3 linked regions of the Lonchura striata genome follow. The protein of the gene in region 3 purifies or fractionates together with the protein of the main gene of each other region. This does not show direct contact. Links are inferred from orthologs where the notes say so. Each region holds a gene or a part of one and is shown on either strand. Other genes may lie near its edges.

Region 1 (3,745 bases), on a different chromosome or scaffold from region 3:
AGGTCTTCATCAGACAAATATCTAAAATCTTTGTAGTCTTTGCTGTCACAAGAAACTATCTTAATATCCATAGCAGTGATCACAGTAAATAGATTTTGTCTATCCAGTGAATACTTGGAGCATTTCAGTACTGAACCATCCATCAGTTTCCACAAATTGACTAAAGCACAATACTTTGTTGTGGAAGAGCATTTTCATGAGCAATTGACGCAAAGTTTATCATGTCTTTCTAGAATTACCTGACACACACAGTCCACATATGACAAGGCTGAAGCAGCTCTGCAGATAAGATCTTTATGCTACTTTTATTTCAAGTGTAATGTACATACAGCCATTGCATGTGCTCTTCACAAAAAGATTCAGAAGATTAAACATGTTCATTAAATACCATCCTAATTTTTAAAACTCTGTTTATTTTAAAGAGACAGAAGTGTAGCATTCCTCTCTGTTTAGTAACATTGCCTGGCCTAAACCATCACACACCATTCCTTTCTTTTACTGGTTCAGAGACAAAAAATTCCATTGAAGTAATGAACTAAACTTTTGCAAAGTACCGCGTGCATACATAAGGGGAAGTAAAGTTAATTTGTCAGCCTAAGTCTAAAGATAAAAAGTATTTCTTTCCCTAAACTAGAAAGTTATTTGTTGTAAAAGCTTTTCTAACAGTTAATGCAAATGTAAATCACATACTTTCTAATAAACATTTATGTTTCCAAACAGACAGTGTTGTATTAGTAAATTATTCAGCTTGAACAAAGGACCTACACTGGTTAGATATAAGCTGCAGTAGGAGGAAAAATCTAAACCTTGACAAAAAAATTAAAAACATGAAGTGATATATGTTTTTGAGATATTTATGAACCTGGAACACCAGCAAGAATGCATAATTGCCATCAAGAGACAGAACCAGGCTGCCATTAACAACTGGATGATGATGGAAAAAGGGCAGATTTAAGTTTGGGACTAGAAAGTGACTTAAAACAAGTGTAATCAACACATGGAAAAAAAAAAAAAAGACACGGTGTCATTATGCTCCTGTAGATATTAAATCTAGCACAGAACTTACCAACTTCTTAACACTGTGGCCTGAAAAGAATGCAACTTCCTTTCCTAACCACTGAGTTCTGCAATTGAGAAAAGCTAGGAATGAACCAAATGTAGAGTTCAACTTCTTTACACCCCTTTTCAAAATAGCAACGACAGAAAGCTTAAGATATGGAGATACTTCAAACTAAAGAAATTAATCTTCTTACCTTCAGCAAACTGTGTCTCAAAACGAAACTGTGAAAGATCAGATGCCCTGCCTACCTTAAAATTCCTATCTATGTCTAGGTTTTCTCAGGTTTTCAGAGGCTATCTCCTCAGCAGAATGTAGAAGCATACAGCTGGGAAACAGGCGGTAAGTGCTCTCAAAAGCGTTGCACAAACTGAAGCATAGAGCAAGCATCCATAACTGGAATGCTGGAGTATGGCCTTCTGTTCACACCCATATATTTCAGCAACTGCGTACATTTCTGCTACGTTTTGTTTTCCTCTGCTTTCAATTGCATCTGGTAAAGAAAGCGCAGGAGAGCAGGCGCCTAGCAACTGGCCCACAGGATGTTCACAAGCTGTACATTTCTTTTAATGGAAAGCCCGACAAACCCTACAACCTTCTCCTTCAAAGGCTTTCTAGACTCCTTCCAGGAAGATGTGGAGAGGACTCATACATGCAGACAACAGTTTCCACACAAGAGTTACAATTTCTGGATCTCTGTCTGAACACTGTCTCATCAAATAAACGACATTCAACCTACTCTCTTCATTTTTTAGTACATCCTCCTCACATGTAAAAAACTGCTGTATAAATTTTAACACCCAAATAGTACAATTTAACACTAGCAGACACAATTGTTTTTTCCCCGACAAGCTACGGAGGTGTTGTTTGCTTCAGTTAAAAGAAAGTTAAGATACTCTATTAAAACATTTCAAGTTTTGATACAGTTTTTGCTCAGCGGGAAATTATGCACGGGGCGGAAATGCTAAAAATCAAAGCAAAACAGAACCCAAGCAAACAGTCCCATTCCCAAACGAGACCCTTCTTTAACCACTCCTGGAGTAAGGTCTGGAGTAAGAGCAAGAGCACTCTCGTGCCTCATGAAGCAGCAACTAGTCCGATAAACAGGAAGAGCCAACACTACTCCTGGCTTTTAAAACACATTCAAAATACTTTACATGGAAAATAAGCAACTCTTCAATAACGTTTTCCCGTGAAAAGAAGAGCTACATTTTCCACCTAAGTGTTTTGTAAATGAGCGGGCAGGAGGCAGCCGCGGGGTCTGTTAGGAGCCTCTCAACCTATAGAGAAGAGAAGGAAAACGGGGGAGCGGGGTGGGGGACGTTTGAAACCCTCGGGGCTCGCAGCCCTGCGGCCGTGCGCTCCGCTCCCAACCTTGCACAACTTTCCGCCGCGGCAGTTCCGCTCGGCTCCCCGGGCGGGGACGGGACGGAGGGGTCCGAGCCCGCCGCCTTTGTTCGCGGGGGCGCCGCTCCCGGCACAAAGCGGGCGGCAGAACTTGCGGAGGAGACCTCGGCCCTCCCCGGGGACCGTGGCGGAGCACCCCCCTCCCGCCCCGTCTCCGCGGCGGGCGGGAGCGGCGGGTGGACCGCGGGGCAGCAGACCGTGCGCGGCCGGCAACGTGAGCCGCATGGGAAACGGCGGCCCCCGGCCCCCCGCCGGCAGCCCCGGGGCACCCAGCCCCTTCCCAAGGCGGCTCTTCCCGCTCGCACTCACTTTTCGGGACGGGCTCCGCCGGGCTCTCCCTCCGCTCGCGGCGCGCGCGCCTTCCCGCCGGCGGGGCGATGCGGACGGCGAGGCGGAGCCCCTCTCCCCCGGCGGGAGGGGGTCCGCTGCCCCCCCCGCCCCGGGGCTGCCGCCGGGCTCCGGGTGACTTCAAAGGGGCTGGCGGGTCCAGCCCCCTCCCGCCCGGGCGGGCTGCGGACTGGTGGCCCTCGAGGAAAGCCCCCGGCTGCGGCTGTCCCGGCGGCGGATCAGGTGCGCCGCCGCGTCCTCTCACATGGAGCCACCGCCTCGCCGCCCCTCGGCGCCCCCCGGGCCGGTCCCCGCACCGCCGCCGGCCGGGAGGCGAGTGGCTCGGGCCGCGGCCCCCGCCGCGCTCTCCCTCTCATGCACTGCGGGCCCCGGCTCCAGCGGCGGGGGGGCCGTCAGGGCCCCGGCTGGGCGGCGCGGCGGGGCAGCCGGGCGGCGGGGCTCGGCGCCGCGACCGCTCCGCTCTGCGGCATGTGGGGGGAGCGGCGGCGCGGGGCGCTGGGCGGCGAGGCAGGGCCGGGCCGGGGACGCCGGGCGCGGTGGGGGCAGCGGCGGCAGTAGCGCCCCGGGATCCGCTCGCTTCCTGCGGCGCCGGGAGGGGGCGGGGAGGGCGGGCGGGAGAGGGAGCGAGCGCGGCGGTGGCGCGGGCGGATGACAGCGGTAACCCGGCAACGGGGCCCGCCCCGCCCCGGTGCTGGCGCGCAGCGATGATGCCGAGGGCGGGCGAGGCGGAGCCGCGCAGGTCCCGCCGCGGCCGCGCGGTTCAGCCCGGGACAAGGGGGTGGCCCCGTGGCCGCCCCGCCTTTTCCCGCCATGGGAACGGCCGGTGCCGGGGCGATGCCGGGGCGCGCCGCTCCGTGCCCGGCCGCCGCTCGGTTTGTGCGGGAGCCGGCGGTGGGAAGTGCTGGTCACGCTTGGTGCTTCTAGAAACTGAGG
Region 2 (3,745 bases), about 3.6 Mb from region 3:
GCACCAAGTACTAAATATCAAGCTTATTGGCCAGTCAAGATACAAAGCATAAAACAGCAGGTTGATATTTTCACCAAACAAAGGTTGGTATGAGAGGCAAAAAGGCCTTTAGGCAACTCTGTTCACTGTGCTGTTTGACCAAATAATCAAAAGTCCTTAGAACATCAATAAAATTAACAATCTCACAGTAATTTTAGAAGGTAAATGACTGTTACAGACAACAGCCCTAGGGGATGGAGGAAGTATTTATCTTAAATAAATCAAGGAAGGGTGTTTAAAAAGGTAAAATGCTACAGGTAAGGAAATATTGCATTTGTATGACTGGCAACAATTTCAATCTCTAAAGCAAAGCAGTACAATAAATAGTTCTGTGCATCACCTGCTAAGATAACATGACTCAGAAAGGAAAAGCTCACTGCTGTACCTACATATTGCTACTGCTAAAAGCAGAGGGTGATTGTAGCACAAGTCATTGCTTTTTATCTAAAGCACTTATTCCTCTGTAAATATCTTGTTAACAAATGCTTAATTTTGTGGAATTTAAGGTGAAGTGCTTTCATTGATGTTTAGAATGTGCCACCTTTTCAGCCTTAATTGCTTTGTATTGGGCAAAACCAGGTAATTGCAATAAAAGTCAATGCAAATAGTGGTGAATAAAATCTTCCTGCCATCCTGTATTAAAATAAAACTGAGCACAGTTATTTTTATCAATAATCTAATAAAAATTGTGTAATTTTAAGACAGGAGAATGAAAGTGTGTCAAGTGACTACTCATATAATTAAACACACCTTTTCCAATAGCATTTCAATAACATTTAACCTTCCACAACTCATGTGCATGTGAGCAGGGAGGGAAATAGCACTATGTGCATTTGCTCATGTCCTAAATAACAACCATAAACACATTTATATGATTCTCAGTCTCTGTCTTCAATTCCACTATCTGTCCCTGGTGAGCTAATGTAGAATTCTTCCTCTGCAGTACAGAAATTAAGTAAATAACTCAGCAGGAATAGCCAGACAGACAACAGTGCACCCTCTGGGCCCTCCTCTCTGCCATTATTGCTCTTTGCATGCCAACATCTTTTCCTCAGGAATTAATTTCCCCAGCATCTTCCTGTACATTACTGACAGCTTCCAAAGCTCCCCTCTTTGGTGGGATGTCCAATCCTCTTATTCCTGCCCTTCCTTTACTATTTTTCCTCCTTTTTTTACAGATTTTCAATCAGAATAACCAGCAGAGGCAGTCTACATGCAGAGGCCTGCCTCAATGGCAAACCAGCACTGCTGGAGCTGAACAGGAAAGCCTCTTCCCACTCCAACTCTGCACATGCCAGGAACTGTCTACAAAGCAGAAAGTTACATCCATCCTCCAACAGCCAATATCCAGCCCCCTCCAGAGCTTACACATGAGTTTCAGATCTCCAGCTCCAAGGTGACAAAGGAAGCAATTGCTTTTGGTTCTGCCATAACTACCTTTTTTTAAACAAAAACGGAAAGACTTAGGCAAACTGCAGTCAGAACATACACCCATTCCACATGCACCAAGTTCCCTGCCCAAACCACATCTGTCTAGTGGGAAGGAAGAGCTTCACCCACACCAAGAAAAGGAGGAGGTAACTAAAGGCACCAGCTTTTCATCTTGTCCTCCCCCACCAAAGCATTTGGAAATAAATGACAAAGTAAAAATGTCATGTTCTAAGCTTTCTAATAGGTAACACCTTTAGAGGTGCCTAGTTTACTTTTAATGATTTTCTCACAAAGTTTTAAGGGTTCAAATTATCATTGATCACCACCAAAAAGCTGAGGCCTGATAGCTGACTGGATATATAAGCAGTGCTTAAGTATATAAACTTAAGTATATAAACTTTATATACTTAAATCAGTGTTTAAGTATATAAACCTGTGCCGTTTAAGTTTCATAGCTAAATAATGAAGAAAGAAGCCACCGTAAAGAAATATACATTGTTTTGATCTAATAGAAATAGACATAAGCAGTAAAGAAAAGGTTTCGTTTTGGAGTAAATTTCCATTTATGAATATATATATTTCTGACAAGGGTTCCAAAGTGGAGTTAGCTTCACATAAAGCAATCTCACACTCTTATTTCCCAAACAATCTGCTCCCAGAGCAAAAACTAGATGTTCACCATATGAGTTTTCTGGTTATGAAATCTTTAGTTTGCTAAACAAGGCAAAAAAGGCAGAAGTGGACTAGAAGCGGAAATAATACATAACAGGACTTTGCTCCTCTGACACAGCACGAAATTCAGAGCCAGCCTGCAAAGGGCTTTGCGATTCACACACCAAGAGTCAGCGGGTGACGTGGCCTGGTGCCTTCATGGTGCTCAAGGCTCCCCCTGAGTCCCACCAGTGCAAAAAGGCCACAGCGGCTGAAAAAACCTTGGCAAGCTCACAAAGCGCCCATCTCCACGGAGCTGGCACGGTTCTCCTTCGCAAATACATCAAAGCCGAGCAGCTCCACACTCACCCAGCGCCTCGCGGGGCCGAGGAAGAGCGATTCCTTCAGGCACACCTGCGGTACCCGGATCCCAGCGGCGTCCTGCAGCCTCCCTCCCTCACAACATGGCCGGGATCCGCCGAGCCCTCCGGCCTCTGCTTTCTGGGCAAGAAAACAACGCAGAAAGAGCTGAAACAGCGGGCAGGGCGCTGCCTCCTGCCCGCCGCGCCAGCCTGGCAGCCTGCGGCCGGGGCGGCAGCGCGGGGGCCGAGCAGCGCCGCCTCAGCGCGGGGCTGGGCTGCGGGGAGCCACGGAGACCTGAGCAACGCTGCCGCCCCTGCTGGGTCCCGGTGCCGGTCCTGCTCCCGGTGCCGGCCCTGCTCCCGGTGCCGATCCCGGTCCCGGTGCCGGCCCGGCCCGGTCCCGCCCGGCGCCGCCGACGTTGCAGGGCGCGAGGCATTGTGGGCGCGCGGCTTAACCCGCTGCGGGCCGGGCCGGGTTCCATGGGATCCAGCTCCCCGTGCTCCAGAGAGGAGTCCAAGGGATTTGTTTCCAGCTGAAGTAAAGCTTTGCAGCGAGCCTTGCGGGCGCGCTGCTCTCCCCGTGCGGCTGCAAAAACGACCCCCGGGGTTTGTGGCTGGGGCTGCCCGTGAGGGTGAATTATGTGGAATGTTGTGGAATTCTGTGGGTTTTCCTCACACACCTATGGGTGAGAGTGCAGTGGTGATTTCAGGTGACGGCCCGTGTTGCTCCCAAGCTGGGGATAGCAGATGGAGGGGCTGAAGCTCCCCCAGCTTCACGTCCAGGCTGCTGTGGTCACAGCTGGAGCGCTGGGATGGTTTGGGGTACCCCAATCAATATATGGAGGAGATAAATCCCCTAAGGAGCATCCAAAGGAGGCCACAAGTTTGAGGAAGGATCTAGGGAAAGCCATTAGAGGGGTGGGTGAGGGTCCTTGCGTTGTTCAGCCTGAAGAACAGGAGACTGAGGGGAGACATCATTGAGGTTTGTGCTTCGTCATGAGAGGAGCTTGTTATAAATGAGAATTTATTTAGCCAGATTAAAAATAAAAATAATTTTATTAGCTGTCAAATTCTATCTAGCCAGCCACACAGAAAGGACAGAGCTGAGCCCGGGGTCGACCCTGGGTGTGCCACAAGGAGTCAGCCTCAGCAGAGGTTTTCTCCTATGCCCACACACCTCCATCCTGGCACAGGCGGTTTTTATAGAGAAAATTCCACCTGAGGCCAAGATTTTAGCAATCAGTCCTTTCTTCTATTCAGAG
Region 3 (3,745 bases):
TGGGAATGAAGCGGCTGGCGCGGCTGCCCAGCAGCGCTGCGGGCGGGCCCGGCCCCGGCCCCGGCGCAAACCGTCCCCGCCCCGAGCGCTACTCACGTCAGCCTCGAGGAAGGGCAGGCGGAGCGGGCGCGGGTCGAGCAGCGGGGCTGCCATGCCCCCCATGCCCCGGGGCAGCTGTCGTCTGTCACACGCTGCAGCGACACGGCGACCCGACATCTTCTTTTTACCTATCCTGAACCACTTGTAAACACCGACACACACAACCAGGCTCTCCTTCGCTCTTGTTTTCAGCACCGCGGAGACAGTGAACTTTTCAGTGCCTTGCCTCGCAGTTCTTCACCAGCTCCGAGCGCCGAGCGGAGTTTCCCTGGCGGGGACCCGCGGGGCAGCAGCGCCTGACGCCGCGCTCGCTGCGCTGCTCGCGGGCCGCGCTCGCTGAGCGGCCGCGCTGCCGCTGTCCCGGCGCCTGCGAGGGGTGCGCGGTCGCTCGGGCCGGGCCGGGCGGGGCCTTGGCGCTCGGCGCTCGCCCTGAAGCGCTGCCGGCACGTGGCGCTGCCCGGGGCCGCACCGGGGAGGCTCCGGCCCTGCTCGGCCCGTCCGGGGGGGGCACGCACACAATGGCCCCGCTGGCGCTCGGCCCCACGCGCGCTGGCAGCGGCGCCGCTGCCCGGCCTCGCCCGGGGGTGGGCGGGGGTGTGTTGGGGGGGAGTCCGGCGGGAGCGGGACTGACCTGGCGGCGCTCCCGGGGCGCGGAGCGGAGCGGAGGCGGCGGCGGCCACAGGTGGGAGCGCGGCGCGTTACGCGATTTGCGTAGCGGAAGCGGCGGCTCGGCCCGGCGGGAAGTGCGCGGGCGGCGCGCGCCGGGGTGGGGGGGGCGGCGCGGCGCTACGCAAAGTGCGTAACGCGCCGCACGGCGACAACGCCGGTGGAGGGGCGCGGCGCGGCGAGGCGCGTGCGCCCCTCGCGGCCCGGCGGAGCGCGCCTGGTAACCAATAGGCGAGCGGGCCGCCCGCGGGAGGAGCCAATCAGCGTGCGCGGGCCGCGGGAGGGCGGCCAATGGCGGGCGGCGGGGGTTTAAAGGGGTATTTAAGGCGCGGCGGTTTGAATTCAAACAGCTCCGGCGGCCCTGAGGCGGCGGCTCCGCGCTGAGCGCCGGGCCTGAGGGCGGGCGGGGGGGATTGGTGATGGATCTCTGCCGATAAACAGTGGGGATCGATAAGGGACCCGCCATTTCCTGTGCTCCGCTCGCTGAGCCCCGCTGGCTCCCTCTCGCCCTCAGCCAGAGCCGCTCGGGCCGCTCCCGCTCTGGCGCTATGGACAGGAACATGAAGGAGAACCACGCTGCCTGCCCCGGCCGCGCCGCCAAGGTAGACCGCGTATTTCACACCCTTATGTTCCTCTTCCTGAGCAATTTCTTCTGCTGCATCCTTGGACTCGATGCCTGGGAGTTTGCCATTAAAGTTCTGCTAGGTTCTGGAGTGGTGGTTTTTAGTTTTTGCTTGGTGGGTTTGTTTCTCCCCATCGCATATTAACTAGAAATTTGTCTTTCAGTGCCTTTCTCCTAGAGAAAACAGAGCCCCGAGCAGTTTTTAAAAATTATTGTTAATATTAGCCTATCTTATTAAATGGGGAAATCTTCCTTCTATTGCAAGTATTTAAGAGCTCTTAAAGAGAAAGTGAGTGTGTATTATCAAATTATTTTAGATACAGTTTTTAAAAGCAAGTGCTGTGTACATGTGCAGCAGTGCTCAAGATCACCCTTATTATTGTGTTTCTTCTATTTAGAAATACAGGCACTTTGTCAGTATTTTATATAAAGCCAAATAGACCTGATAAGTTTTTGGAACAGCATAAGCAAAATTTTCTTTTAATCAACTAAATACGTGATTCTGTTAAAGTGCTTTTGTGTGGCCGTGCCATCCTGAATGGGGCCGTGAGGGCTGTGCTGTGCTGTTGCACAATTAACGCCTTCTCCTTTCTCTTTGAAGGTCTCCAATCCCATCGGGGATGCCCCCAGACGTGTCCCCGTGTCGCAGCACTCAGCCCCGAGCCGCTCACTGACCACTGGAGCTCCAGCCCGAGTTCTGTGTCCCGCAAACTTTGCCCAGCGAGTCCCCGCGCAACCCCAAAAACCTGTTCTGTCCACCCAAAAACAACCCAGCAACCAACCAGCTCAGCAGCTCCAACCCAAAGTGCCCCAGCAGGCTGCTGTGAGACCTCAGGCTGCAAGCAAGGGCAGTGAGAAACCTCCCCAGGCTGCAGCACCTGGTAATTCTGAGGATGATTTTGTGTGATTGCAGCTGTGACACTCGGGATGCTCCTAAAGCTGCTGCTGATCCAGGGACAGTCCTGCAGGGAAGTTCTTGGTTGTGCCCCCAAACAGAAGAGCAGTACGTGGTTCACCTCGGGTGTTACTGCACCATCCTTATGAATTTACCTCTAAATTAACAGAGATAAATTAGATAAATTAGGGACATTATGGTGTTAAAAACTTGTAGGTGCTCAGCAGACAGCTCGGAGTTAATGTCATTTGCATTCAGACTTCACAGGTTTTCCAAGTGTCCAGGGATACTTTTGTCTGGGGAGGGGGAAAGAATTCATGGAGTTTTATGCTCCATAAGCTTTTAAAATTGCATTTTGCCAGCACTGTTTCTTCCCTAGCAGTCAGCCATGCTAGTTTAATTAAAATGTCACTGAATGGGTTCTAAAAACTGCTTCAGATGATGCACAGGGGTTAGATTTGTTCATGTGTGTGTGTGCCCATGAGTCTGGTTCATTAACTGATTTCCTTCTCTGTACACAGCACAAAACCCTGAAGCAGAAAGCACCTCTAAACAGAAAACTGAAGAGACCAAGAAGAAAAGTGAAGAGACTAAAAAGTAAGTTTATGCCTGAATTCTGGATAACTGAGCCCTGCTGGAGCTCCTTTGGCTGTGGAGCCTGGTGACCCCCTTGCTTTGCAGACACCTCACAAGGAAAAGCAGCCTTTGACCTGATAATTGTCAGGAACAAGGACTTGTTGGAATCTAAAGAAAACTTCGGGCTAAATGCAGAGTGGCTCTTCCCATGGGAGAGCACTGATAGCTGCTGCCTCAGTCACTAGATGTACTCCTGAAAACAAAGCCTCCTTCATCTGGGCAGGAGGCTGGAGTCTATTTTGATATGAAACTGGATTTGTTTATGGCAACTTTAAATTGTTTTGCCATGCCCTGGTGATGTGTCTGGGTTAGGAGTATCTGAAGGAGCCCAGCTTGGTAAACAGACTTCATTTTGTAGTAGTGTGGTTGGTGTAGTGTCTGCAGAAGCTTCAGGAGGAAAGAAAATAGTTTTCACAACTTCCTTTTGAAAAATCTCAATGCTTTTATTCTCTAGGTATTTTCTTAAAGACTAAAATCTAGTTTAGAGCACTAAGCATCTCTTGAACAGCAATGTTATAAACTGTAAATTTGAGTCAAATCCAACACAACTATCCAGCTTTTAACTTTCCTCTTGCAGAAGGCAATGGTCCCTCGACGATTTTGAAATTGGTCGTCCTCTGGGGAAAGGAAAATTTGGGAATGTGTACCTGGCACGTGAAAAACAGAGCAAATTTATTCTCGCACTGAAAGTGCTCTTTAAAACACAGCTTGAGGAAGCTGGTGTAGAACATCAACTACGAAGAGAAGTGGAAATACAGTCTCATCTTAGGTAAAGTTCAGTGACTATTTACTCTGCTTTGTTTGCACCCAAATAAACAAGGTGACCT

Evidence for each region.
Region 1: the proteins of AURKA (region 3) and FBXW7 purify together in Homo sapiens (affinity purification with western blotting; 5 studies listed by BioGRID). This does not show direct contact. The link is inferred for Lonchura striata from reciprocal best matches to the Homo sapiens genes AURKA and FBXW7.
Region 2: the proteins of AURKA (region 3) and ARFGAP1 purify together in Homo sapiens (affinity purification with mass spectrometry; 3 studies listed by BioGRID and IntAct, counting the BioPlex papers as one, with this or other methods). This does not show direct contact. The link is inferred for Lonchura striata from reciprocal best matches to the Homo sapiens genes AURKA and ARFGAP1.

Annotation. Positions count from the first base shown.
Region 1 is NC_134606.1:43,089,884-43,093,628, reverse strand, and holds the start of FBXW7 (F-box/WD repeat-containing protein 7), read right to left. Parts: upstream 2,916-3,745; 5' UTR 2,774-2,915; intron 1-2,773. UniProt on the Homo sapiens protein: Substrate recognition component of a SCF (SKP1-CUL1-F-box protein) E3 ubiquitin-protein ligase complex which mediates the ubiquitination and subsequent proteasomal degradation of target proteins.
Region 2 is NC_134619.1:6,103,600-6,107,344, reverse strand, and holds the start of ARFGAP1 (ADP-ribosylation factor GTPase-activating protein 1), read right to left. Parts: upstream 2,607-3,745; 5' UTR 2,491-2,606; intron 1-2,490. UniProt on the Homo sapiens protein: GTPase-activating protein (GAP) for the ADP ribosylation factor 1 (ARF1). Involved in membrane trafficking and /or vesicle transport.
Region 3 is NC_134619.1:2,538,496-2,542,240, reverse strand, and holds the start of AURKA (aurora kinase A), read left to right. Parts: upstream 1-1,313; coding exon 1,314-1,367; intron 1,368-1,988; coding exon 1,989-2,268; intron 2,269-2,803; coding exon 2,804-2,879; intron 2,880-3,495; coding exon 3,496-3,687; intron 3,688-3,745. Other genes in the region: CSTF1 (cleavage stimulation factor subunit 1), read right to left, coding at 97-216. UniProt on the Homo sapiens protein: Mitotic serine/threonine kinase that contributes to the regulation of cell cycle progression.